Linked DNA regions of Oryctolagus cuniculus. The protein of the gene in region 1 interacts with the protein of each later gene in a pairwise test. Links are inferred from orthologs where the notes say so. Each region holds a gene or a part of one and is shown in the gene's direction. Other genes may lie near its edges.

Region 1 (3,607 bases):
GCCTCCACCTCTGCTTCTCCAGCTTGGCTCTCCGCTGCAGAACCTAGCCGGTTTCCTACATGACAGATGCCCGCGTCATGATTTATTTGCGATGAGCTGGGTGTTGGAATGTTTCAGTTTCCCAGATATGCAGGGAAGTTAGCTTACCCCACCAGCTGAGTCCTGTGCAGTGCCAGGCACAGGATCTGTGAACCCTTGGTCTTTCATGGCCCTTGGGAGTCAGATTCGTGAGGGCAATTGGTGGTCTAGAAACACTGTTTATTTTGGCGTCACTTTCTTTAAACCATAAGGCGTTTAGGAAAAGAGATCTGCAAAGCTTCACTAATATAAATATCTGCTCCATCAGTAGCCATCAGTGTGGTATTAGAACTGGCATTGCATGTCTTGGGTTCAGGTCCCAACCCTGCAACTGATTGGTGGAGGAAGATTAACTCTAAGCTCTCCCTCCTGTACAGAGTTTAATGCCCAGCACCAGCCTAGACAATTCAGTTATAATGCGAAGGGCAATGCCATGCCAGAATCCCATATCTGAGAGCGAGAGCCATTTCAGGTCCTGGCTGCTCCACTTCTGATGCAGCTCCTGCTAATGGCCTGGGAAAGCAGCTGAAGATGGCCCAAGTGCCTGGGCCCCTGCACCCGTGTGGAAGGCCTGGATGGCATTCCTGGCTCCTGGCTTCAGCCTGGACCAGCCTCTGCCATTGCAGCCATTTTGGGAGTGAACCCTGGATGGAAGATCTCCCTCTTTCTCTCTCTCTCTCTCTCTGTTTCTCTATCATCCTGCCTTCTAAGTAAATAAATAAATTTTTCTAATAAAAAGTGTTACAACGGAAATTAGCTGGTGAATTACAGATTCCTCATCTAAGTCTGAGACCTCAGATTTTAGAAGTGGAGTGGTCGGTCTGCTTGCTTTGTTTTAGTATAGTTCATTAAGACTTTCTGGAAGGAATTCTTTGAAGTTGAAATTCATGACCCCCATTTCAACAGAAGTGACTTCCATTCTGACATCAGCATATGCGTTTGATTCTGTTTTATTCCAGGTGATGAACAGCAGCATAAATCAACTGTACCCAGTGTAATTAAAACAGTTGATGGGAGTTAGGCATCCAATATAAAGCGAACAGTTGTAATGAGATACTACTTTTCCTATGTACAATTACAAGACGGCCTTGTCCCTTGCCTCCACATTTTCCTGGTCTGTTTCCATGTATGCTAACAGCCTCATCTTATGCCCGCCCCATCTGACTGCACCGCCTGCGTTCACGCTCCTGGAGCTGTGTCAAGGACTTTACTCTGAGGAAGGCCCACTCCTTCTTCCCCACCCCCACACCACTTAGTTGCTGGGGCCTTCCCTGGCCGCCCCACCAGAGAAGATGAACCCTTTCCTCTTCTACATTCCTTTTTTTTTTTTTTTTTTTTTTTTGACAGGCAGAGTGGACAGTGAGAGAGACAGAGAGAAAGGTCTTCCTTTTGCCGTTGGTTCACCCTCCAATGGCCGCCACGGCCAGTGCGCTGCGGCCGGCGCACCGCACTGATCCGATGGCAGGAGCCAGGAGCTTTTTTCCTGGTCTCCCATGGGGTGCAGGGCCCAAGGACTTGGGCCATCCTCCACTGCACTCCCGGGCCACAGCAGAGAGCTGGCCTGGAAGAGGGGCAACCGGGACAGAATCCGGCGCCCCGACCGGGACTAGAACCTGGTGTGCCGGCGCCACTAGGCGGAGGATTAGCCTAGTGAGCCGCGGCGCCGGCCCTTTTTTTTTTTTTTTTTTTTTTTTAAAGATTTATTTATTTGAAAGTCAGAGTTACACAGAAAGAGGAGAGGTAGAGAGAGGTCTTCATCTGCTGGGTCACTCTCCAGTTGGCCACAACGGCTGGAGCTGCGCCGATCTGAAGCCAGGAGCCAGGAGCTTCCTCCCGGTCTCCACATGGGTGCAGGGGCCTAAGGACTTGGGCCATCTTCTACTGCTTTCCCAGGCCATAACAGAGAGCTGGATCGGAAGTGGAGCAGCTGGGTCTCGAACCAGAGCCTAGATGGAATGCCAGTGCCACAGGCAGAGGATTAACCCACTGCACCACAGCGCCACAGCGCCACAGCGCTGGCCCCTCTACACTCCTTTTAGCGCTTCATTTATTAAAGCTTTAAAAAAAAAAACCTCTGGGCAGCAGACACAGCAGGCACAAGGAGGGCCTGAGGAACCTGCTCCCTGTTCTGTTTCACGTGGGAAAACCTGCAATAAACTAGTGAACAGATACACACAGTAGGCCCTTTTTGTAGTATCACATCACTTCAGGGCCAGGCCCTGTATGTCTTTGTTCAACGTCTGTGGGCTCATGCAGGCTGCACTTAGTATCTGCCTTACACACAGCTCTCTGTCCAAAGCACACAGTGCAGACTTGGAAGAGGAGCCCGCGAGGACTCCTTCAGCCGTGGGGCTCCAGTCTAACCAGCGAACCCTCCCTTCCTGCCTTCATTCAGTGGTGGTGTTGTTCTTTGTTAACAGGAATTGGTGGCACAAAATACATCTCCTTCGAGGAGCGGCAGTGGCACAACGACTGCTTCAACTGCAAGAAGTGCTCCCTGTCCTTGGTGGGGCGGGGCTTCCTCACAGAGAGGGACGACATCCTGTGCCCGGACTGCGGCAAAGACATCTGAAGGCCCCGCGGGGATAGCGCGCAGTCGCTGCTTGAGTCACACACACACACACACATTTATGTATTTTCTTTCTCCACCAGCAATATTGTGCTCTGGCTTCCACCTGCCTCATGTGCTTCTCAGTGCTAGTCTTGTCTGTTTAAATCCTTTCATCTTCGGGACTAAGTCAGTCCCAGGGAAAAGCGAGAATCCTCATGCAACCCTACGTGGGAAGATAGTTTGGAATTTCTGTAGTTATTAGGGCCAATCCAATTGCAAAACTCCTCTCGAATGATGTCTTTATAAGCTTATCTTTCTTTTCACTGCATATTTAAGTGCAATTCGCATATGTCACAAACTTGACTTTTAAGAACTGTATAAGGTAATGAAGCATTGGTACCTACAGCTTTTAAACTTCCTGTTATGTAAAATCGAAAGCAAGAGTATGTGATTTACAATAAAGTTATTCCAGACAGAATGTTTTGGATTAATGATTAAACGTTGGGATTCTCAATGTAAGGACAACTTTCTTGCCTGGCCCAGCGATTGTTCTGTGCCCTGCAAGTTCTGATGTGCTGGGACCGGAAGTGGTGTCACTACTTCCAGGAAGCCTGCAGATCCATGTCTCTCCTGCCTCTTCTCTTTCTTCTCGTTTCCCAAGTGCTCCCTGGAACGCACTGCTCTGCATTTGAAGCCAGTGACAGGCAGGGCCATTTGGGTGTCACTTTTCCTGGCAGATGCTGGCTTTGTCCCACTGTGATGGATCTCCTACACTGAACTGCTTTCTCCCCCATCAAGTGAAGGACTGGGCAAGGGCACAAGCAACTTGAGGGCCAGAAGTGACATCCTGTTCATCTTTATACTCAGTATCCTAGCAACTGAGGGCATGTAGGAAGCCTTCAGTGTTTCTGCAAAGGGAATGATAGAATCATTGCTGTCAGAATACTACTCTGGGCGCCTAGGTTTACAGTGGCTGAA
Region 2 (3,943 bases), on another chromosome or scaffold:
CCCAGTTGTTCCTCTTCCAGTCCAGCTCTCTGCTGTGGCCTGGGAGTGCAGTGGAGGATAGCCCAAGTGCTTGGGCCCTGCACCCCATGGGAGACCAGGAGAAATACTTGGTTCCTGGCTTCAGATCAGCGCAGTGCATTGGCTGCAGCGCACTGGCCGCAGCGCGCCGGCCGCAGCAGCCATTGTGGGGTGAACCAACAGAAAAGGAAGACTTTTCTCTCTGTCTTTCTCTCTCACTGTCCACTCTGTCTGTCAAAAAAAAAAAGAAAAAAAAAGAAAGAAAAAAAAAAAGTAGAGGCAGGACCCAACTCCAGATACTTGATATGAGTATGCGGGTGTCACAAATTTTATTTGTATTTGAAAGGCAAAGAGACAGAGAGAATCTGCTGGTTCACTCCCCAAATGCCTCAACATCTGAGGCTGAGCAGACCAAAGTCACGAGCCAGGCGCTCAATCTGATCCTCCCAGGTGTGTGTCAGGGGCCCAAGTACCTCAGCCATCACCAGCCGCTTCCCAGGGTGCATCAGTAGGAAGCTGGTATAAGCAGAGGCAGGATTTGACCCCAGGCACTCAGATATGGGATGCAGGTGTCCCAAGAAGTGGTCTAACCCCCTGTGCCAAACGGCAGCCCCAGCAATGGGGCTGTGCGAGGAGTCTCTCCGCAGAGGCTCGGACACACTCTCCGTCCTGAGGAAGTGGCAAACAGGCCTGGTCAACAGCGGGTACTTGTTAAACTGAATCTCAATGCCAGCCTGCCCTGGCTGCGGGGCTGAAAACGCAGGGCAGCTGCTTCTGGGAATGCCTTGGGCGCCCCCTGGTGGTGACCACGAAGGCTGACGAGACACCAGTGCCTTCCCACCTAAAGGAAGACACTTCCTGGGGCCCTGCTCTTTCTTCCTGGGCTCCACAGACCCCAGCCCCAGGGAACTGGGGGTGGGAGGAACCAGGGCACAAGGAAGAACCCTGTGGGGAAGGATGGGGGGAATGTCTCACTGGAAGATTCCATGGCAGTTGGTGGGCAGCCACTACCGGCCTGGGCAGGGAACCAGGGGCAGAGGAGTGGATGAGAAAGGCCGTGGCTCAAGAGCTGCTTCCCTGGGCAGCAGAGAAAGGCAGGGGGCGGGGGCGGGGGGGACGGCAGCTGTGTGTGGCCCTGGGCCAGGGAATGAGGTGGCTGCCGGGGTGTGACAGGGAGCCGCGTCTGCCAGCCTGTGAGTGCTTCACGGTCATAAACATGGAGCTGAGCTGGATCACTGAAGACGTGGACGGACCCAGAACGCACACGGGCCATGGCGACCGGCCCCTAGGCGTCTGTCCGTCCCCTCGAGCCGTTCCCTGGCTGGGCGCCGAAGAGCCCCAGAGATGGTTTGCAAAGTCTGCGGCTCTGATGCCTCCATGGCTCTGCAGAGATGGGCAGCCACCGTCCAGCCAGCGGTCAGGGCTGGCGTGGCAGTGCCAGCACCGACAGCACGGCAGACTCAGAGCCGCCACCGCCCTCTCTCCCATGCTCTCAGCACCCCGGGGAGGGCCCCTCACCCTCTGGAGCCCAGAGATTAGATGTGAGCAGCTACGTGCAGAAGAGGACAGGAGATGCCCAGGAAAAGGAAAGGGGGGAGGAGGTGGGCAGGGAGGGAGAAAGGATGTGGGGGCGCAGGATGGCGAGGCCCGGAAGAGAAGTGGGTAGGACTGCGAGCAGCCGTCAGGACCAGCGAGCGGCAGCCGCCATGCAGCTTACTGGAGCCAGCCATGGGCCGGCAGTGGACGGGACGATGGCGGACAAGACAAACCCAGGGCCTGGAGTGGAGGGAGACGAGGACCTATGCAACTAGGAATGGGGAGAAAGTGACACCAAAGACACTGAAGGCAGCAGTGGCGGGAAGGGAAGACGGGGAGAAGACAGGAGAGATGGCTGCCCTGCACCCACGGCCCTGGCTCCACGAAGATCCAGCAGGTAGGGTGGGGCAACTCAGCAGGGGGCGGGCAGGAGTGAGTGGGGGTGGCAGGTACCCCCGTTCTCACCGGCACCCCATGGAGCCACGTGGGGAGCTGCTCCGTACCCAGGCCTGGGCTCTATGGCTTTCCGTGGATGCGACCCAGACGTTGGAACGTGTTAAAAGTGGTCGTGAGTCTAAAGCGTGGCCAGGGACACAGTGGACGCTTAGGGGCCATCTTGGAAGGGGAGAGCTCTCGGCTGGGGGAGGGTTTGTAAAGGAGGCTCAAGGCCCCCGATGGTCCCGACATGAGGACAAGGGGTCATCTCCTCAGCAAGCCCCCTTCCTGGCTGTACCTCTACTAAGAGTAAGAAAAGAGAGCGTTCCAAAGGGCAAACCCAGCCACACAGCTCAAAACCCCTCCACGCGCTCTCCTGGGCCACTTGTGCCGCCTTCGAGCTGGGGCCCTGGGGAAGCTCCTGTGCCAGGCGAGGTTGGCGGGGGCCCAGCGGGGTGTCCCACCCCACCACCCCCGAACCCCTGCACCCTGACAGAGCTGAGTCACCGAGCCCGGGTGGAGTCCCGGGCTTGACAGTGAAGCAACTGGAACTGGAAAGCTGGCCTGGAACAGAATGTATGGGCTCTAAACAAGGCCCAGGAGAGGTGACTGTATGCAAATGTTCATTAACTCAGCATACCTGACGTCCTCCCGCACTGGCCTCAAGCCTCCTCCTTTTTTTTTTTTTTTTTTTTTAAAGGCGTATTTATTTATTAAAGTTAGGGAGAGAAGGAGAAAGATCCTTCATCTGCTGGTTCATTCCCCAGATGGCTACAATGGGCAGGGGTTGAGCCAGGCCACAGCCAAGAGCTTCTTCCAGGTCTCCCATGGGGAAAGGGGCCCAAACACCTGGGCCATCCTCCACTGCTGTCCCAGGCCACTAGCAGGGAGCGGGATGGGAAGTGGAGCAGCTGGGTCTCGAACTGGTGTCTGTGTGGGCTGCTGGCGTTGCAGGCGGTGGCTTTACCCACTACGCCACAGCGCCCGTCCCCTTCCTCTTTTTAAAAAAGATATACTTTATTTTGAAAGAGTTCTATACAGAGAGAGACAGAAGGAGAGAGAGATCTTCCATCCCCTGGTTCACTCCCCACATGGCTGCAATGGCGAGCGTTGGCCCAGGCCAAAGCCAGGAGCCAGGGGCTTCACTGGGGTCTTGCAACGCGGGTGTGGGGGCCCAAGCACTTGGGCCAACTTCTGCTGCTTTCCCAGGCCAGCAGCAGGGAGCTGGATCGGAAATGGAGCAGCCAGGACACAAACTATGGGATGCTGGCGTGGAGGGCAGCAGCTTTACCTGCTATGCCACAGCGCCGGCCACTAATGCAGGAGAGTCAGAAGTGAAAATAAACGTGTGTAAATAGTGTGACGGACGCCTTTCACGCGTGCCAAGAACAGGGCAGAACACGGGAGCAAAACGCTTCAGCTGGGTGGGGATGAGGCGTGCAGACTCGGGCAGGGTCTTGGAGGATGTGTAGGAGTTGACCGGGAGGCAGGGCAGGGTAAGAACTGGTAGGTGTTTAGGAATGAGGGAAAAGGACAGGATTTGTGGGTGGAGGAGAAAAACCCACAGGCGTGTACAGGGCTAGAAAGCAGCCTGGCTTTACCCGGAAGGCAGAGAACCTTCCATGGAAGGTTCTAGAGATGTTGCCTGATGTCTTTCTAGGGCTGACACGGAGAGGGGTGGCCTGGAAGAGACTTTTAACATTGCCTTTCGCTCTGTGTTACCACAACAGCCCTTTCTGACGTGCTGTTCAGGCTGCTGACTTCGACAGAGAGAAGAATCGAGGAGAGGGGAATGGGCACGTGCGCAGCCGCAGAGTCGCAGTGTTGAGTGTAGGGGCTGCTGAGCGGGCGCTCGTTCTAGGCACTTGTTCGAGGGCACCGGGTCTGAGCACGACCGTGTGTTTCCCCCGTGGGATGAACACGCAGGGGAGAGGGGAGCCGGCCCCGGGCTGCA
Region 3 (4,106 bases), on another chromosome or scaffold:
CTAATGTCTTAAATAGCGCTGGTCCTGGGTAGCTGAAGGGATGAAATGTGTTTCTAAAACATGCAACATTGTCTGATATTTCAAGTGTTTAAAAATCACACACATCAGTAATGCAGCCAACTGAATACCAAGTATCACAGCCATTCCCCCAGAATGTCCAACAAGCAGGCCTTGTACTGTGAAGAACAAAGGGTCTGGTCCGAGCCGTGGAAAAGGCACGATTCACTTGCCTTAAGGAAAAGCGCATTTTCTCCTTCAGGCCACGGAGAGCTGCCGAGAGCAGGCCACAGGATCTCCCTGACTCACACTAGCAGGAGCAAGGTTGGGTAATTCTCAAATTAGGGCTCACATACCGTCCTTTAAGCCATCCTAAAAAAGCCTCTTTTATAAAATCTCATGTTAGGAAATCACGTATCTATCAACAGGGAAGAATTGACCATCAAAGCATTCCTAACTGAAGCAAGAAGACAGCCAAAAGTGTTAACAACAGAGCTGTAAAAGTATCTTACATCCTGGAGGGAAAAAGTGTCAAACTTGCTTTCTAAGCGGTGTTTCCTTCCTTCCCATGGTTCTCAGGGCCAGGCAAGTGGAAGCAACACTGTCGTTGGGGGAAGGCTGCTGGGAGAGGGCCAAAGAATCTCTAGAACCATGGTTCTTGAGTGTGGTCCCTGGCAAGCAGCATCAGCAAGAGGACTTGTAAGGAATGCCCATTCTCAGCCCACTCCAGACCTGCCCGGCGCGGAGCCCCCAGCAGCTGGTTTTTAATCAAGCCGGGTGGTTCTGATGCCCACTAAACTCTCAGATGCGCTGCTCCAAGGCATCATTACCTACACCTGGAGAAGGGATTGAGCACCCACGTGAGCCGTGAAAGCCTGCGCTCATAAAGGGCCTCGTCCTCCAGCGCTCAGAACTGTGGGGAACGGCGGCTTTGACCCCTGAGGCTAGAGAGTGGGTTTCCACAGGAAGATCTGGAAACGGTACTCAGGGCTCGGCCTTCTGGAGGTCAAGGGGTGCACTTCCATCGGCGGGGCACCCGTGGATCCTAGAAGTAGAAAACGCCACTCCACACGCCGCAGGAGAGTTTTCGGCCTCTTAGGACAATTGACCGTGGCGTTTGCGCATGGCAGCACCCAGCAGCTTTCCCTCCAATGTTTCTCCAGCTTTCCCCAAAGTCCGCTGGGGAGACTGTGTCCTGGGCCCCCCAAGGGAGGTGCCGGGAGCTTCCCGACCTCACAAGCGGTGTTTGTGATGTCACCACCATCTCAAGGCGTGCTCCTCCTGGCTTTGGTGATGTCATAGAGGACCCGTGATCCCGGGCCCTGGGGCTTCCAGGGGCTGGGGAGGCCGCACCAGGCTAGTGGGACCGGGCGGTGTGCAGGGAGAGGCCCCCCCAGGCTCCGTGCTGCTCCCTCGGCGCGCAAGGCCAGCTCCGGGAAGGGAACGGAGGACAAGACTTTACAAGAGGGCCACTTGGTTTTCTTTCGTGTGAATGTTCAGAATCTCTGCCAAGGCCCTTGAGATTTAGCGTGCTCCCTCCTGGGCTGTTGGGGTCTACAAGCAGCTGCCGCTGGGGGTGCTCTGAGGGGACATCAGGGCCTCAGGATGGCCCCTGTGAAGAGGAAGTGCATCTGCGACCTGTGCTCTTGCGGGTAAGGAGGCTGCGCCCAGCGCAAGGCTGGGGAAGCCTGGCTTTTCCGACTCCGGAGCCAGGCAGGGCGTTTCCCACAAAGCGGGGCTGGGGCCTCAGCCTGCGGCTTAGCTAGGAGCGCAGGTGGACTCACCCACCTGTCGCTGTTGTCAGCTTGCAGCGCCTGCAGCCAGCACTTCATGTGCTGGGCTTGAATTGAAGCAGGTGAATGGAGCTGTTCCCAGGGCTTTCCTTGTGTCAGAGCTGCAGGAAGGTTGAAAGTGGGCCCAGCCCTGGCACAGCTTGTATCTCTTCCTTGCAGCCCAGAGAGTGTCATGGACCGAAAACACAGGCCAGCTTTGCTTCTTTTGTGCTAGGGTGCTTCTTTAAGGACCCAGGTTGGGAAGATAATTTCTTTAAAAAAATTTTAAAGTGACTTTTACTTTATTAACTTATTTGAAGGTTAGAATTACAGAGACAAGGAGAGCCAGAGACCGAGATCTTGCATCTGCTGATTCATTCCCCAAATGACGACAACCACCTGGGCTGAGCCAGGCCAAAGTCAGGAGTTTAACCTGGTTCTCCCACGTGGGCAGCAGGGGCCCAGGCACAGTGTTTGGGATAGAAATGTGTAAGACAGTGCTTCCATCTTTGCACAGATGGGATGGCAGGAAAGCTCATGAAGAGGGTACACAGTGAGACATCTCCTCTTGCCCCCGGCAGGCGCCTGACTTACCTGGATGCCCCTTCTCTGCCTCTATTCCCTTCTGTTCCTGCAAAAATTCTCTCAGACGTGGAGACTGTCCTGGAGTGTGTTCTCCTTTCCTTCTCCCCCTCTTGGTTTCAATCGGGAGTCTCCGGTTTGGACCTCACATCCCAGCCTTTTCTGTTCTTCGATTTCAGTCTCCGTGCTTGTTGATGCGTCTGGCTGCCTCGTGACCCTCCGCTTGGAGCCGTCTCCCACTAGCTGCCCCTCGCATGTGAACCATCATTTAACTGTTTCCAGAGTCTGGTCCTTTCCTCTTCGCGATCTTTCTTAGAATGGTTCTTTGCCTGGCTCTTTTTTGTTAGGTTTGGAAACTGCCCCTAACACCTTGCTAGCTTTACCCACTGTGATTTCTTTGCTTGGAACCACTCTTCCAGCTGGCTTTGGGTCTTCTGATTGGCCCTCCCTGTTCCTTACCATCGCCCTTCCTTTCTCCCAATTGCCTACGTCCCTCTTCCTGCTGCCCGACCTTTAAGGCCCTGTTTCTATTGCAAGGTTCCCATTAGCCCAGCTCTGTAGGGCCCTGTCAAAGAGACCCTGCTCTGTGTTACTTGTTTCTGATTGTGCCTGCCTGCTTCACAGCTCCCATGGACTGTGTACTCTGGGAAAGCAGAAACCATGATTTCCAACTGTGTGTTTTTAATACTGAAACATTTCTCTCCATATAGCTATCAAAATATCTTTTTGAACGAATGTTTTTTGCTTGTTAAGGTTAGTAACATGCCAACAATGGATTAGAGATACAAGACTTGGAGTTGTGCTATCTAGTAGAGTAACCACATGTAGCAATTTCATGTCGATGTCGATGAATTAAAAGGAAATACAATCATAACTTGTTATAATTGTACTAGCTTATTTCAAGTATCAGTAACCAGATGAGTCTGGTCTCCCACGTGGTTGGCAGGGACTCAAGTACTTGAATCATCATTGCTGCTGCTGGGATCTGAATTTCAAGGAGCTGGAGTTGGGAGCCAGAGATGAATATCAAATCCAGGCATTCTGATATGGAATACTTTTTTAAAATTTTTTTATTAATTTGAAAGAGCTACACAAAGGGGGAAAGAGAGGGAGAGACTGATTCTTTCATCCCCAGATGGCCACAATGGCCAGGGCTGGACCAGGTAGGAGCCGGAGCTTTTCCCAAGTGGGTAGCAGGGGCTGGGATCTTGGGCCATCTTCTGCTTTTCCTAGGCCATTAGCAGGGAGCTGGATTAGAAGTGGAGCAGCTGGGACTTGAGCCAATGCCCACATGGGATGGAAGAGTTGGAGGCAGCGGCTTTACCTGCTACACCACAGTGCCTGGGACATGTTTTCTTAACTGACATGCAAAGCACTAGGCCAAATACCTGCCCCCCTCCCCCTTTTTAAAAGATTTTGTGAGAGGTAGTTATAGATAGTGAGAGGGAGAGACAGAGAAAGGCCTTCCTTCTGCTGGTTCACTCCCCAATTGGCCACAAAGGCCAGAGCTGCGCCGATCCAAAGCCAGGAGCCAGGAGCTGCTTCTGGGTCTCCCAAGTGAGTGCAGGGGCCCAAGGACTTGGGACATCCTTCATTGCTTTTTCAGGCCATAGCAGAGAGCTGGATAGGAAGAAGAGCAGCCAGGACTAGAACCAGCGCCCTATGGGATGCCAGCTCCACAGGTGGAGGATTAACCTACTGCGCCACAGCGCCAGCCCCCCTCCCCCTCATTTTTTACAACTGGTGATTTGTGGA
Region 4 (3,500 bases), on another chromosome or scaffold:
CCAGGCAGGCGTGCTGGGAGGGGTCCTCCTGGTCTCAGGCACCGAGCTACCGAGTTCTGTGGCTGTCTGCGGGGCGGCGACAGAGAGAAGTCTGGGGGCCGTGCAGAGCAGGTGCACCTGGAGTCCGAGCTTGTGATCACAGGGTGAGGACGGCTGGAGGACATCACAGGCTGGGTTTCAAGAGGGGGAGCCACCCAGCCTGTTGTGGTGGGAACCCAATGGGGGGTGGGCAAGGACCTAGCACCCCCTGGGGCTCCCCAGAAATGGTTGTCTGGGTGGAGGCTGAGAGGCCCGTGCAGGGGTGCTCCCACAGCTCAGAGGGCTGGTCCTGGCCCATGTCCTCATGGGTGAGGACCTTGGCTTGCTCAGAGCAGTGGATGCTGGCTGGTCCTATGCATGCGTATGAAAAGGCGTCGTTTGGGGCTCTGTCTCATTTCAAGCCTTCTCCTGTTGCCTCTGATTTCTACTCTTTCCCCATCATGCTCACCAAGGGTCTTGGCTTTTTTTTTTTTTTTTAAGATTTATTTATTTATTTGAAAGACAGAGTTAGAGAAAGAGAGAGGGAGAGAGACAGAAAGAGATGTTCCATCCACTGGTTCACTCCCCAGATGGCTACAGCTGGGCCAATCCGAAGCCAGGAGCTTCCTCCAGGTCTCCCACATGGGTGCAGGGGCCCAAGCACTTGGGTCATCCTCCACTGCTTTCCCAGGCCATAATCAGGGAGCTGGATCAGAAGTGGAGCAGCCAGGACTCGAACCGGCACACATATGGGATGCTGGTAGCGCAGACAGCTTTTTACCTGCTGTGCCACAGCACCGGCCCCATCATCCTGGTTCTTGTCTCCTCACCCCGCCCTCCCACACTTACGCCTCTAATCAGTCAGATCTCCTGGGAGCAGGATGGGGCACGTGGGCACCTGTGCTGGCACAGAGCAGACTTAAATGGGGAGCTGGAGCTGTTGGTGCCCTTTGGGCCTTTTGGGGAATCCAGTGCACTTGCCCCTCGCGGGTCTTGGTCTGACCCTAAGCGCAGCAGAAAGTCCCTGTTCTCCTGAAGGCGCCTGCTGGTGCACCCTGCTGGTGCGGCCGGTCCCCAGAGCGTCTTCATCTCCCCGTCTCTCTCTGGGTGCCGCAGGGTTGGCGGATGAAGACAGCTTCCCTCTGAGCTTTCCTTGGTCCCATCCCTCGATTGCGTCAGCTTGGAGACCTGGGAAAGCCGGGTTACTATTTCCCAGAGTTCCTGGGGGGAAGACGTGCACAGGGGAAGCTTTGGAAAGCCCCGCTGCAGCACTACTAGCCCATTCGACTCTCCATCTTCTCCCCTCAAGCCCGAGAGACAGGGCTGTACGTCGGGTGCACTGGCTGCCTGAAGTCACTGTGACGAATTGCCGCAGACTTAGCGATGTACAGCTGCTCGAGTTTGTTATCTGACACTTGGGAGGGGCAAGAATCCAAAATGGGTTTCCTGGCCAAGGTCACTGCATCCTACAGGGACACAGGCCCTGAGGAAGCCTCCCTTTCCTGGTCTTTTCCGGCTTCTGGGGACACCTGCCTGCTTCTCCATCCTTACTGTCAGCAGTGTGGCATCCCTGGTCTCTCTGTGTGTGGCACAGCTTCCCCCCGTCCCGACCTCCCTGCCCTGCCCCCTGTCCAATTCATGAGGACCCCGTGATTGCATTGGGCCCACTGGAGAGCATTTCACCCATCTCAACATTCTTAGCTTCTTTTTTTTTTTTTTAAAGAGTTCTTAATTTATGTAACTGAGAGGTAAAGTTACAGACAGACAGGCAGAGACAGAGAAAAAAGTCTTCCATCCGTTGGTTCACTCCCCAAATGGCCACAAAGGCCAGAGCCATGTCGATCTAAGCCAGGAGCCAGGAGCTTCTTCTGGGTCTCCTATATGGGTGCAGGGGTCCAAGGACTTGGGCCATCTTCTACTGCTTTCCCAGGCCATAGCAGAGAGCTGGATCGCAAGTGGAGCAGCTGGGACTAGAACCAGCGCTCTTATGGGATGCCGCACTGCAGGCAGAGGCTTAGCCCACTAGGCCACAGCGCAGGCCCCCATCATCTTTAACTTCTCCATACCTGTAAAGTCCCTGAGCCTGGGGAAGGTTCCAGAAATGAAGGCATGAACACCTTGCAGGGTAGGCAGGGGGAGGCTGGGGGAGGGGGGTCTCAAGGAGGCCACACCATCAGTCACATCGAGACGCCCCGAAACCTGGGTGTCAAGGCCACGTTCTCATGCCTGGTTGTATTTGCAGATGCAGAGGGAAATGGTCTACGCACGAGGAGAAGGCCCCGGTGCCTCCCGACCCGGCTCCATGGCTCATCCCGCCCACGCGATCCCGAGCTCCCCGCCGTCCACACCCGTGCCCCATTCCATGCCCCCCTCCCCGTCCAGGATCCCGTACGGGGGCTCCCGGCCCATGATGGTGCCTGGCAACGCCACCATCCCCAGGGACAGACTCTCCAGCCTGCCCGTCTCCCGATCCATCTCCCCCAGCCCCAGTGCCATCCTGGAGAGACGGGACGTCAAGCCGGATGAGGACCTCGGAGGCAAGAACCTGGCCATGTATAGGAACGAGGGTCTCTACGCGGACCCCTACCTCTACCACGACGGGCGCATGAGCATAGCCTCGTCCCATGGAGGCCACCCCCTTGATGTCCCCGACCACATTGTCGCCTACCACCGCACAGCCATCCGCTCGGCAAGCGCCTACTGCAACCCCTCCTTGCAAGCCGAGATGCACATGGAGCAGGCGCTGTACCGGCAGAAACCCAGAAAGTACCCCGACAGCCAGCTGCCCACGCTGGGCGCCAAGACGCCACCCGCCTCCCCGCACCGGGTCGGCGACTTGCGCATGCTGGACCTGCCGGCTCACGGCGCCCACGGGCTCCCCCACACCCTGCAGCCCGACCGCGCCTCGCCCAGCCGTCAGTCCTTCAAGAAGGAGCCGGGCACCTTGGTGTACCTGGAAAAGCCACGGAACCTTCCGGGCTTTGTGGACCTCGGGCCGCCCCTGGTCGAGAAGCAAGTATTCACCTACAGCACAGCCACTATTCCCAAAGACAGAGAGACCAGGTAAGGCGTGGGGAGAGTGGGCGAGAGCTGGGCTGCTCTCCAGGGGTCCCCCAGGGAACACAGGGCACGCACCAGCCTCGTGCCGCCCACAGCTGACCCTGGTCTGCCAAGTGTTTCCAAGTGGGTGGGGTCCGGTGAGGCTGTGCTGAGCGGGACAGGTGCACCCGTGGGGTCAACAGCGTGCAGGCCTTGGGGTGTGGGTCTCACGGTGTTGTCACCATTGTGCACCTGAGCCACGCTGAAGAAAGTCAGGCCGTGCAGGAACCATGGGACACAGACGTCTCCAGGGATTGTGGTCACTGCTCTGCTGTCCGGTTTAGGGAGTGAGGGGTTCAGGGAGGAGGCGTTTGAGTGGCGCTTGGCGTTTTTCGTTTAGAATGTGGTTTTGTTTTGTCGTTGTCTTCAGGATTGATAAAAAC
Region 5 (3,500 bases), on another chromosome or scaffold:
CTACACCACAATGCTAGCCCCTTGTAATCATCTTTTGGAGGAGGAAGACACAGTTCACAGTGATAGCAATAAAGTGGAAGATTCTTTATTGTCCAGTTGTGACTATACAATTTGGTCAATGTGTTTACCGCCAAATTCCGTGAACTTTCCTCATAGTCCGTTAATTGCTATGTGATGTTTCATCCTTCCTCTTTTTTTTTTTCTACAGATTTATTTATTTGTTTGAAAGGCAGAACATGAGAGAGAGAGAGAAGGAGAAAAGGAGGAGGAGAGAGAAATATATTCCCATCTACTGGTTCACTCCCCCAAATAGCTGCAATAGCCAGAGCTGGACCAGACCAAAGCCAGGACTGCATCCTGATATCCCACATGGATGCAGTGGCCCAAGTCCTTAGATCATCTTCTGCTGCCTTCCCACATGCAGAAACAGTACTTGAACTAGCACTCAGCATCACAGGCTACTGTTTACCCTGCTGTGCTGCAATACCAGCCCCTCATGCTTTCAGAAAACCTTACCTTGTTTTGGTATCCTGTCCTCAGTGCCAGAAACTGACAAGAATTATGAGGGATCTGAGGTTTTGCTCACAAGCTAGCAAGTTATTCCACCACTGGGTGATGGATGCTGGTAGATCAGAAGACTTAGGGGCCCAAAGGACAGGATTTTATCACCATCCATGATCACAGCAAGTAGCAGAGTTTTGAGTTGACACTAGTTTTCCCTTCTTAAGTCGTCCCACAGGGGTGGCATAGGATGGCCCAAGTGAATGCTGTATGTGTGAGTGGTTTATATCATAGCTAAGGAATATTTAGCTTAGAAAACCCAAGTCTTTTATGATGAGCTACAAGCAAACCTGCCTGGCCTTTATCCTAGAGGGAGGGACTATTGTCCTTATTACATGGGACAGTAAAAAACCTTTCCTGTCTGTACTGTGTGCATGTATCTGTGAAGAGTCCAAAACGTTTGTAAGATTTTCAGACACTCAAGAAACTCTTAGAGAATAGTCTTTCAACAGGTGTCATCTTTTATTGCGCTTGTTGTAAGATAGCTTATCCCATTCTGGATATAATACTTTTGACAGATGGATGTTTATAAATATCTTCCATAAATTGCCTCTTAATTAACTGTAATTCTAAAGGGTAGAAATTTTTAATTTTGATGAAATTAATTTCACCAGATTTTGCTGTTAGGGATCTCTGCCTTTTTTTTTTTTTTTTTTTTTTTTTTGGTATGCTACTTTAGAATTTTTTCACTAGATTGCCTGCAGATTTTCTTGAAATTTAATAGTTTTAGTTCTTACATTTAAACCTGAGGTCTACTTTTTTGTGTATGATGTGAGATAAGGGTTATTTTTCCCATACACATACCAGTTCTGGTACCATTGTTAAAAAAATTAGCTTTCTCCATTGTATTGCCTAGGAACTTTTTTTCTTATGGAAATAAATTTAATGTACAAGTGTGGATCTGTTTCTGCACTTTATTTTGTTGTGTTTATCTTCATATTTATACTTTACCAAATGTCATTGTCATAATTGTAGCTTTTTAGTAAGTCTTGGGGTCATAAAGTATAAGCTATCCAACCTTGTTTTCTGTTCTTCTGTATCAGTTTCTTCAGAAAAGCCTTTTAAGATTTCAATCTTACAGATTTTTAAAATCTACACATTCTGTATTTCAGAAACAAAGAAAATTCAGCTCCATTAGAGGAGAATACCACAGGAAAAAGTGAGGCCAAAAAAAGGAAGATTGCAGAAACTTCAAATGTTATCACTGAGTCATTGCCGTCTGCAGAATCAGAACCTGTTGAAATCGAGGTGGAGATTGCCGAGGGCACGATCGAGGTGGAAGATGAAGGCATCGAAACGTTAGAGGAAGTGGCTTCTGCTAAGCAGTCCATAAAATACATACAGAGCACAGCTTCCTCTGATGATTCCGCTCTAGCACTGTTGGCAGACATTACCAGCAAGTACCGTCAAGGTGATAGGAAAGGACAGATTAAAGAAGACGGCTGTGCATCTGACCCCATAAGCAAACAGGTAGAAGGTATTGAAATTGTGGAACTTCAGCTGTCACATGTGAAGGACTTATTCCATTGTGAGAAATGTAACCGTTCATTTAAATTGTTTTACCATTTTAAGGAACACATGAAATCACACTCCACTGAGAGTTTCAAGTGTGAAATATGCAATAAAAGGTATCTTCGGGAGAGCGCATGGAAACAGCACCTAAATTGTTACCACCTTGAAGAAGGTGGAGTCAGTAAGAAGCAAAGAACTGGGAAAAAAATTCACATTTGTCAGTACTGTGAGAAACAGTTTGACCACTTTGGACATTTTAAAGAGCATCTTCGAAAACATACAGGTAATGAGCAAGTACTTTTATTTTTTTTATTTATTTATTTTTTTTTTTTTTTTTGACAGGCAGAGTGGACAGTGAGAGAGAGACAGAGAGAAAGGTCTTCCTTTGCCGTTGGTTCACCCTCCAATGGCCGCCGCGGCTGGCGCGCTGCGGCCGGCGCACCGCGCTGATCCGATGGCAGGAGCCAGGAGCCAGGTGCTTTTCCTGGTCTCCCATGGGGTGCAGGGCCCAAGCACCTGGGCCATCCTCCACTGCACTCCCTGGCCACAGCAGAGGGCTGGCCTGGAAGAGGGGCAACCGGGACAGAATCCGGCGCCCCAACCGGGACTAGAACCCGGTGTGCCGGCGCCGCTAGGCGGAGGATTAGCCTAGTGAGCCGCGGCGCCGGCCAGCAAGTACTTTTAAAAGTTTGTCTTTTCCACATTCTCTTCAAGTCCAAATCCTTTCCTTGAAAAAAACAGTGCTACAGAAACCCACTTTCTGTATTAATCTGAAGGCTAAGTACACTGTTTTTTACTAATATCTTGGTGAAATAATGATTCAAGTGCAAAACAACATCAGCCTTGAGAGTAATTATCAGTTAATGCCTTGCCGGTTTTTAGATTTTTCAAAGAAATATATAAAATATAGTTTGTGATATATTTAGGAAAGGATCATAAATTATTAAATCCTGATTGTAGTTGAGTCTTTATTGTTACTAACTTTGTATTTCTCAAGTTAACATGTTTCGTAAGTAAGCAATACAAGCAATCTCTGACATGTTTATTCTTTTTTTACATGCATTTAGTTAACTGTTTTGATTCACCAGCTAAATTGGCAAAATACATGACCATATCCCTTCAGCTCTTCAGTGACAAGTATGTCAGGATTGGTAGGCAGGAGGAGGGTAAGGTCATTGTACTGTTCTTTCAGCTGGAGCCACTCCATACAAGAGACGGATGTTCTAGGAAGACTGCCCCAGTGACCCCTGCCCCTCAGAGTTCTGCATCTCCTGCTTGCCTACCTTTTGCCTGCCCAATTCCATGTCATTTCTGCCTCCCCCAAAGCATTCTTCCCTAGGTCTCTGTCAGACATAGTAGCTCCCACCAATGACTTGACCATTGGGTAGTCCCGACCCATTATAACAGGGTGTAGAGTAGAGTTACCA
Region 6 (3,961 bases), on another chromosome or scaffold:
AGAGTGAGTACATCAAAGCATCTAATAAACTATAAAGTGCCCCAGAAAGGGAAATCGGTGGTAGGGTTGTAGGAGTCAAACTTGTAAGGTCTGGGGCCAAAAGGTGCAAACCCTGTGCAACAAGTCCTTGTTGGTTTCAGGCTATAATGGTTATGATGTATCCTTTGAATCTTGTCTGAATCAGTCGGATGTTTCCTAATGCTATACAGAGCAGGAAGTCAAGGGCTTCTCTGGCAGGCTGTGGCTTGTGCGCCAGCAACCACTGCCATCCACAGGTTGCTAAGACCACACCATCAAGGGCAAGGCACCCAAACACACACTCCCTGCATCTGGGACACCCCCTTGTGCACCCTGCCCAAATGATTTCACTAAGACTGATACTGAGTAATGGGCAGGATTGGAAGGATGTCTGTGACCCACTTCTGAGCAGCTGGTAAAACTCAACACACAAGACTCCACCTCAAGCATGGCCTCTGCCCCCAGTGGTTCCAAGTCCCCAACTTGGGCCTCATCTTCTCTTTCATCTCCACCCAGTTAAGCAAGAATGCAGATACCTGGGGATACTCTGTAAGTCTGTTAGCCAGCAAGACCTTCTGTAGCTTTTCTGGCTTCGACACTTTTTGAGGGCAAGCCCCCTGATTTGTGTCCCCATCTTTCGCTTTAGCACCTCGCTTGGCATATAGCCTGTGCTCAGTGTTTGCTGGGTGGCTGGATGAAGTCCAGGTTAGCAAAAGCGGCTCTTCAACTACCTGACCCCGAATCTGTCCAGAAAAGCTCAACCAAACCCAATTAATTCATTGCTCAGGGCTTTGCCAAGTTCTGGACATCAGGAAACACACATTTCATGGGGGTGGGGAGTGGACAGGAGGCAAGCTCAGGATGGGTGGACGCGCCATCAAGTGCAAAGATTCGCTTTTACCTCCATTCTCTGGGGAGCAAAAATCTCTCCGTGGCCCCAAGGCGCTTTAAATGGTACTGAGCCTGTTTTCCTCAGAAATTTCTGGAGCCCAGCCTAACTTTTGTGCAGGGGTTTGGCAGCGCTCATCTTCGGGGGCCCAGGGGACCGATGGCACCAGGCTGCCAAGGCGCTTGCACGCGAAGGGAACTCGCGCGGACCTGGCGGGGCCCGGCTGAGAGGCGGGTGGGGTTGGGCCGGGGGGCCCTCGAGTCCCTGGAACTCCAGCACGCCATGAGAATTCGGGGAACGGACGACGGCCCAGGGCGGCCAGACCCTTCGCTGAGCCCCGCCGGCTCCCGACCCGGGCCCCGCGGCCGCCGGGTACAGCGGCTGGGGCGTCTGGGCCGGAGGTGGGGGGGCCCGCGGCGGAGGAAGGAGACCGGGCGGCCGCCGCCCCGCCCGTCGGGCCGCCCGCCCCGCCCACCCGAGCGAGGCGGAGCCGGCGCCCGAGGAGCGGGAGGAGGTGGAGGAGGAGGAGGAGAGGTCGGAGCCGTCTCCAGGAGCCCTTGGAGACCGAGTCCCCGGTGGCGGCAGCGGCGGTGGGGGCAGCGCAGCGGCAAGCGAGTGAGCTCCGGGCGGCGGGCGCGCGCGCTCGGGGAGCCGGGGCCCCGCGGGCCCAGGGGCGCAGCGCGGGGCGGCGGCCGCCTCCGAGCCCCGGGTGCTGGGAAGCGAGATGGAGGGAGGGAAGAGAGGAAGGAAGGAGGGAGGAGGGAGGAAGAGTGTCCCGGAGGGCGGGGACTGTCGGGGCACTGGGCGCCGCAGAAGGGGGTGGAGGACGGAGGTCGAGGGACGCCGAGACCTGGAGACCGAGACGGCGCGCGCGCGCCCTGGACGGGCGGCGACCGGAGGGCGCGGGAAGCCGGGGCCGAGGGCTGGGGCGAGGGACGCGGCCCCCGGTGGAGAGTAGAGGCTGGAGGCGAGGCTTCCCCGCGCGCCTGCTCCCTCGCCGGCCCTCGGCCGCGAGCCCCGCGCCCGGGTGGGAGGTCCCCAGTGTTCCCAACCCTTCTTGGCTGAGGTGCCCGGCTTTGGAGGAGGGCCGGCGGGCGGCCGGGGGCGCCACGCCCCTCTTCCCTACTTTTCTGCGCTCTCTGGGGACCAGAGCCTGGCGGCGCCGGGAGCCTAGCGGGGAAGTAGCGGGTCGCGCGGGGGAGAGCCGCGGGGACACCCCGGGCGCAGCCCCGGAGCCTGCCCCTCCGCAGCCTGTGCTTGCAGGTGGTAAGGAGGAGGTCAGGGCTCCGCTGGGGTCTGGCGTGATTTTTTTTTTTTTTAAGGTGTTACCCGGACACTAGTACCGCGGATCGGGTTGACTTTTGTTTTGGTTTTAATCGGGGCCTGTCGATTAAAGATCATTTGAAAACGCTGCCACCAAGTGTCTCCTAAGACTCGCCGCTCGGCTTCTCGGAATCTTAACGAACTTGACTTCAACCATTCATAACTTGGGAAAGGGAAGCCGTGGTTCTCGTTCACCTTCCCGCGTGTTGGGGGGAGAAACTTTGGACGGCTAGAAATCTGGGGAAGGGGCTCGGCGAGGCCTGGCACGTCGCGGTCACCCTCAAACCCGTGGCTAGACCAGGGCAGAGCCGACCCAAGCCCGGGGGCGGACGAAGGTCCCCTGCGCCCACGCGCCGGGGCGCGCTGGCCGGCTGCTCCGAGTGGGAAGCCGCCGGGGGCTTACTGGACCCTGTGGAGTTGGACCGACTTCACAGGATTAGCTTCCTCCGCGTCGGTTATTTCCTCTCCCCCTGCTGCCTCCGCGGACACTGTTTATATTTCCTGGGGCGGTTGTAGCCTCGCCTGAATAGATTGTCTATAATGAATCTTGGGACGTCTGTGTCTCTGTGTTGTCGGTTTTAAACGAGGAGTTTGGCTTTGCTATTAAAGTGGTAGTCCCCAAACGCTGCACTGCCAAGCAGCAGGAGGGGGCCCTCACCCAGGAGAACCGTGCAGGTAGCGCCCCCATGACGGATCGCGTTTGACTATTGCCAAAATAATCCATTCAAGTAAGCTAGGTTTTTTGTTTTTTGGTTTTTTTTTTCTAAACCAGATGGTATGTATTAGCAGCCCCCCTTTCCAATAAACAAAACGTGTGATCCACACACATAATTTTTTAAAGTAATCAAACATTTTCCGGAGACTTAAGTGATAAAAGGACTTTCTGGATCAAATGTTAAATTCCTTTACCATCTCTAACAGTTAACCAGCGCCATAAAACCCTGGGTTGAGTCCAGAAACTGCTGACCAGTCTTTTGGGTGTTTAGACTTTATCCTTTATGCTGTTGTTACTTAGCCCGGGTCATTTAGTAGCCAGCCCTAGGGCATAAAATGCTTTAGATTTGGGTAGAAATAAGTAAAAATGGGAGGTGTTAAACAAGAGATTGAAAAATGGGAGTACAAACGTTTCCTATGAAGAAGCTCCTATCTTGTCTGAAAGACTAGCTCTCTAACAATTGCGTTTGTGTTGTAGGGTTTGTGTTGTTACTTGTTAGACAACAGGGGTGGTTCCTCAGTGTGCCAGAGCACAGGGCTTCAGAGTCAGGAGGCTTGAGGAAATAGTTAGCTAATACCAAATTAGTTTTTTTTTTTTTAATTTTTGTATTTGAATGTTGATTCCCGCTCTCTCTAGCAAGAAAAGGACTTCTAATTTAGAATTACGTCATTCACTGTTGGGTTTTTATTAGGTGACTTTCTTGTTGTTGGTTTTGGCTTGGCTTTTTTTTTTTTTTTAAAGTTTTATGTCAGCTTAAACTTAACCTAGGAAGGTTAGCCTAGTTGTGGAAGTCAGGCATGTTTTTCTGATCCCTAACTTGGAAAAGCAGCAGTTTAACAGCCGTTTCAGTGTGGGTTCGGTGTTTGTCAGACCTGGGTGAGAATTCTAGTCATTTAACCTTTTTTCAGTTTGGTTTATAACATTGGATTTTTAGTGGTCTCTGTCTCTTGAGTGTTTATGAAAGTGTATGAAACAATCCTTGGAAGACACTTGGACTGAACCTCACCCACAGTGAA
Region 7 (4,289 bases), on another chromosome or scaffold:
GGTAATCAATAGAGTAGAGGGAGGGGCCCACCAAGCACCTATCCCCCCCCCGCCGCCCCCATGGAGGTCCCCAGGAAGGGCCGGTGGGGAGAAGCAGCTTGCAGAACGGGGCATTCAGTAATCACTTGAGCCGATGAGCTCCATTCTGTGGATGGGAAAATTAAGGCACGGAGAGGTGACACATCAATAAACGGAAAGAGTGCGTATTTGCGCATACATCTGCCTGTTCCGAAGGCCGTCACTTTTCTAGAATCTGCCGGGCTTGGCCCGTTCTGCACAAACCACTGCGCGGTAGAAGAGAGGCTCTTCTGTGGGGTGGCTGGGGAGTCCCACGACCGAATGGCTGGCACCTGACGCTGGCAGCGTCCTGAGACTGACTGTTCACAGGTTATTCCCTCTCTTATAGATACTAAAGCAGCCCCCTCATTGAAAAGGTTACTCTCCCAAGAGGAAGACTGTGGAAGGCCTTGTTCTCAGGACACACCGCCCGTGGTGTGACCGGGGCAGGAAGGAGGCTCCTAGACTGGTTCTGCTATGGCAGGTAGTGTGACATTGGACTTGTTTTACATCCTGTCTGGGCCCTTTGCCATCCTACACCTGCCTGTCCAAATCTCACAAAGCCTTCACCATCTACAGTTGGAAAGGGTTTTAAATAATCGCTTGGCACCGTCTCACTTTACTCCCAAGGCAGCTAAGGTCGGGGTATCTGGGTTTGTTCACCATTACCTGACAAAGGACTGGCCGAGCGGGCACACTGAATGCAGGGCTTCTGGTTTCCAGTCCCGTGTCCTTCCCACTGTCACTATTTTGAGTCTCCCAGGCCTGAGCCCCTATTGTCCTGTTAATCAACGCCACACACTATTGAACTCTTCATTGTTTCCTGTGTTGATCTTGTCTCCTCTAATTGTGACATTCTTGAGAGCGGGAGCCACTGTTTTATGCAAACGGAGTCCATCAATATTTGCTGATGAAGGAAGAAACCACTGGGGGGATGCTTCCTGGTCATTTCCAAGATGGAAACCAGCCTTGCGGAAATGCAGAGTCCCCAGAGTGCTGGAAGGTGACAGGAAGGCTGACGAGTGTCCCGTGGCAATGCTGGTCTCGCAGGAGGAGCTGCAGCCACCTCAGCAGGGCTGCGGACAATCAAGTCCAGGTGGCGGCCCTGCCCGGGCAGCAAGGGGGCAGAGACAGAGCCGCGGGCTCACCAGGGACCTCTGCAAGAGCTGTGTGGAAAGGTGCGGGGGTCGGGGGGGGGGGACCGTGCGGGGAGCTGGGAAGCAAAAGTTACCCAAGATGTGCTGACCCAATCGGGGCTCCTAAAAAGGTTTATATGGAAACCACTTCTCCTGCTCTCCCATATTGAAAACCCTGTCCAAAATTCATTTCCCAAGCACAACTGGGCATGCATTCGATTCCTTAAGGAGTTCATGGGGAACGAAGCCTCGGCTCTTTTCTTCCCCCATGCAAAAAGCACGCTGGATCCAGGCTTTCTCCTTTTTTTTTTTTTTTTCTCTTTTCCCCTGTTGCTCAAATAAATAGTGTTCTTTGCTCAAACCCCCTTCCCCTCCTCCTCTTGCAATCTCAGCGCCTAGCCCAAATCTGTTTTCTTCATTGTAACCTCAGCTTCACCGCAATTAATTTTTTTTCCCTCTGGTCACAAGATAATTCCTGACGCCAGTGAGTCTGGAGGTCAGACGAACAGCAAATTGGGGAACAAGGCGGCACTAATTCCTTACAAGTTTCCCTTGAAAAAATCTTTTGCTTAGGAAAAAAAAAAAAAAGCTTTGCTGTTTAGCGATTTATGACCTCGGAGGAGCTGTGGGTTCGAACCAGTGCTGGGTTAAGGGTGGCCTGGCAGGGGGCAGGGGAGCTCTAAGATCTGGGGCGCTGCCAGGAAAAGGCAGATTCTTGAAGTTAATGGTTTTAAGTGATTTTTTAAATCCTTGCTGGCGAAGAGGCCCGCCTATCCCCAGCATCAGCGCTTCCTCATTCCTTGGATCCGCGGCTCCGCGGTCTCCGGCGAGCGCCCAGCTCGAAGAAGCCTGTTAGCAATTTAAGCGGGCTGTGAACGCCCAGGCCGGGCGGGGGCGGGGGCGGGGGCGGGGCCGGGCGGGCCGATTTGAATAAGGAGGCGTGTCCCCGAGGCGGGCGCTATAAAGGGCGGGCGGCGGCGGGCGTGCGCGCATTGCTTGCTGCCCCAGTGGGTTTCTAGCTGTATCCTCTCGTGTGCATCTCCGAAGCCCTCCCGCTGCAACATGAAGGCGCTGAGCCCGGTGCGCGGCTGCTACGAGGCGGTGTGCTGCCTGTCGGAACGCAGTCTGGCCATAGCGCGGGGCCGCGGCAAGGGCCCGGCGGCCGAGGAGCCGCTGAGCCTGCTGGACGATATGAACCACTGCTACTCGCGCCTGCGGGAACTGGTACCCGGCGTCCCGCGAGGCACTCAGCTTAGCCAGGTGGAAATCCTGCAGCGCGTCATCGACTACATCCTCGACTTGCAGGTGGTCCTGGCCGAGCCGGCGCCCGGACCCCCGGACGGCCCGCACCTCCCCATCCAGGTGCGCGTGGGAGCCGGGGCGGGGTTTGAGCGCCCAGACCGGGATGCGGCGGGACCCCCGAGGTGCCGAGCGCTTTGCCTGACTCTCCCTTTGCTCTCCTCCTTTTGCAGACAGCAGAGCTCGCCCCGGAACTCGTGATCTCCAACGACAAGAGGAGCTTCTGCCACTGACCTGGATGACCTGGCACCTCCAGGTGAGTCTGGCCTCCCCGCCCCCCGGGGGTGGGTAGGGGCCGAGGGAGGCTGGAGTTGGCAGGCCTTTGAAAGGATTATCCCTTCCTTGGCGCAGGACCATTCAGGCCGGGGCGGGGGTGGGGGGCGCAAGTGAAATGTCGGTGGTCCCATCAAATGAATGGCAGAACCAGTTTCGGTCGAACGTGCGTTTCCCTGTTTAACCTTTGCACGTTGCCCCTGGCTGCATGCAGGGGCCAAAGAGCCAGGCAAGGAGGCGCGGTTCTGACCAAGTAAAATAGCCTTTCTGTTGGGAGTCATTTTAAAGGGCGCTGTGTCTTCTCCGCGCCCCCCCCCCCGCCCCGCCAGCAGTGTCCATTCTGGGGGGAGGGCGAGCGCAAGCTCCGCCTGTGGTCCTTTGGCGCCAACTTGGGTGGGGGCAGCGTGGGGCGCGGAGTTATCAGCTGGAGGTAGAGAGCGAGTTTCCGCCCTGGCGCCGGCCAGTCTGCGGACGGCCCCCGCCTCGGCGCGCTCGGCGGAAACTGACGGCTCCTCTCTTCTCCCCCGCCCAGAACGCAGGTGCTGGCGCCCGTTCCGCCTGGGACCCCCCGCGACCTTCTCCGGCCGGAAGCCCGAGGGCATGGATGGGCCCCAACCTCGCCCTGCCCACTTCACTCCCCCGAACCCCCCTGTCTCGAGCCTGGACCTGGCGCCCGGGAGCGAAGGACTGTGAACTTGGGTGGCCGGAAGAGCCAGAGCTAGCGCAGGTCACCAGCTGGGCGTCGTCACCCTGCCCCCACTACACCCTCAAAGTTTTCAGACTCTTCCCGTGGGGGGTGGGGGTGAGAGTGGGTACACCCCAAAGTCCGCCGAGGCGGCGGCAGGGCTGGTCTCCTGGTCTCCCTGGAGCAGCTGTTTCCCTGATTATGAACTCTATAATAGAGTATATAGCTTTTGTACTTTTTTACAGGAAGGTGACTTTCTGTAACCGTGCGATGTATATTAAACTTTTTATAAAAGTTAACATTTTACATAATAAACGATTTTTAAACACTTGTGTATATAATTTGGTCTCGTTCCCGTTCTTCTCATTCCCTTAAGCATTAATGCAGAATTTAGGGACACGGAGCCTCCCTGCCACTTGGAAAAGCAGAATTCCCAGCTGACAGGAGGGGGAAGGGGCTGGGGCTCCAGCTGGAGCTCCAGGCCCCTTGGGACTGTGCCCAGGAGAGACCTAGCCCTGTGCTAGGAAGGAGGCGTGGCACCTGGCAAGCTGGGGGCTCAGGCAAGTGGGACACTTGAGTTCTCGCATCCCCTGAGACCTAGCTAGCTGCCCCCTTCGTGTCCTTAATTATTCGTGATGGTTTTCTAGCAGAGATGTGGTAAGAGTGGAGCTTCCAGTTGGCCTTGCCCGGTGCCCAAACCTGTATGGTGGTTGGTAGACCCATTTCAGAGATGAATAAACTGATCACTGGACCTGGTTTCATTTCCCTCATGCTCTCTACTCTGGCTGCAGCCCTGGCTTCCAGAAGTCAGAAATGGAGAGGCCCGTCTCACATCTGCA

What was found.
Region 2: the proteins of FHL2 (region 1) and SP2 interact in binary tests that used the Homo sapiens proteins (3 or more experiments, as listed by UniProt). The two-hybrid records come from large-scale screens. The link is inferred for Oryctolagus cuniculus from reciprocal best matches to the Homo sapiens genes FHL2 and SP2.
Region 3: the proteins of FHL2 (region 1) and SAXO1 interact in binary tests that used the Homo sapiens proteins (3 or more experiments, as listed by UniProt). The two-hybrid records come from large-scale screens. The link is inferred for Oryctolagus cuniculus from reciprocal best matches to the Homo sapiens genes FHL2 and SAXO1.
Region 4: the proteins of FHL2 (region 1) and KIAA1217 interact in binary tests that used the Homo sapiens proteins (3 or more experiments, as listed by UniProt). The two-hybrid records come from large-scale screens. The link is inferred for Oryctolagus cuniculus from reciprocal best matches to the Homo sapiens genes FHL2 and KIAA1217.
Region 5: the proteins of FHL2 (region 1) and ZNF131 interact in binary tests that used the Homo sapiens proteins (3 or more experiments, as listed by UniProt). The two-hybrid records come from large-scale screens. The link is inferred for Oryctolagus cuniculus from reciprocal best matches to the Homo sapiens genes FHL2 and ZNF131.
Region 6: the proteins of FHL2 (region 1) and GNG12 interact in binary tests that used the Homo sapiens proteins (3 or more experiments, as listed by UniProt). The link is inferred for Oryctolagus cuniculus from reciprocal best matches to the Homo sapiens genes FHL2 and GNG12.
Region 7: the proteins of FHL2 (region 1) and ID3 interact in binary tests that used the Homo sapiens proteins (3 or more experiments, as listed by UniProt). The link is inferred for Oryctolagus cuniculus from reciprocal best matches to the Homo sapiens genes FHL2 and ID3.

Annotation. Positions count from the first base shown.
Region 1 is NC_091433.1:103,248,674-103,252,280, forward strand, and holds the end of FHL2 (four and a half LIM domains protein 2), read left to right. Parts: intron 1-2,498; coding exon 2,499-2,650; 3' UTR 2,651-3,107; downstream 3,108-3,607. UniProt on the Homo sapiens protein: May function as a molecular transmitter linking various signaling pathways to transcriptional regulation. Negatively regulates the transcriptional repressor E4F1 and may function in cell growth.
Region 2 is NC_091448.1:24,182,599-24,186,541, forward strand, and holds the start of SP2 (transcription factor Sp2), read left to right. Parts: upstream 1-1,143; 5' UTR 1,144-1,590; coding exon 1,591-1,951; intron 1,952-3,943. UniProt on the Homo sapiens protein: Binds to GC box promoters elements and selectively activates mRNA synthesis from genes that contain functional recognition sites.
Region 3 is NC_091432.1:182,004,870-182,008,975, reverse strand, and holds the start of SAXO1 (stabilizer of axonemal microtubules 1), read left to right. Parts: upstream 1-1,306; 5' UTR 1,307-1,602; coding exon 1,603-1,649; intron 1,650-4,106. UniProt on the Homo sapiens protein: May play a role in the regulation of cilium length. Stabilizes microtubules at low temperature.
Region 4 is NC_091444.1:105,128,045-105,131,544, reverse strand, and holds part of KIAA1217 (sickle tail protein homolog), read left to right. Parts: intron 1-2,260; coding exon 2,261-3,081; intron 3,082-3,500. UniProt on the Homo sapiens protein: Required for normal development of intervertebral disks.
Region 5 is NC_091445.1:68,707,333-68,710,832, forward strand, and holds part of ZNF131 (zinc finger protein 131), read left to right. Parts: intron 1-1,673; coding exon 1,674-2,356; intron 2,357-3,500. UniProt on the Homo sapiens protein: Plays a role during development and organogenesis as well as in the function of the adult central nervous system. May be involved in transcriptional regulation as a repressor of ESR1/ER-alpha signaling.
Region 6 is NC_091438.1:104,714,618-104,718,578, forward strand, and holds the start of GNG12 (guanine nucleotide-binding protein G(I)/G(S)/G(O) subunit gamma-12), read left to right. Parts: upstream 1-1,161; 5' UTR 1,162-1,279; intron 1,280-1,367; exon of another isoform or gene 1,368-1,522; intron 1,523-3,961. UniProt on the Homo sapiens protein: Guanine nucleotide-binding proteins (G proteins) are involved as a modulator or transducer in various transmembrane signaling systems.
Region 7 is NC_091438.1:147,378,166-147,382,454, forward strand, and holds ID3 (DNA-binding protein inhibitor ID-3), read left to right. Parts: upstream 1-1,489; 5' UTR 1,490-2,255; coding exon 2,256-2,555; intron 2,556-2,665; coding exon 2,666-2,725; 3' UTR 2,726-2,748; intron 2,749-3,297; 3' UTR 3,298-3,791; downstream 3,792-4,289. UniProt on the Homo sapiens protein: Transcriptional regulator (lacking a basic DNA binding domain) which negatively regulates the basic helix-loop-helix (bHLH) transcription factors by forming heterodimers and inhibiting their DNA binding and transcriptional activity.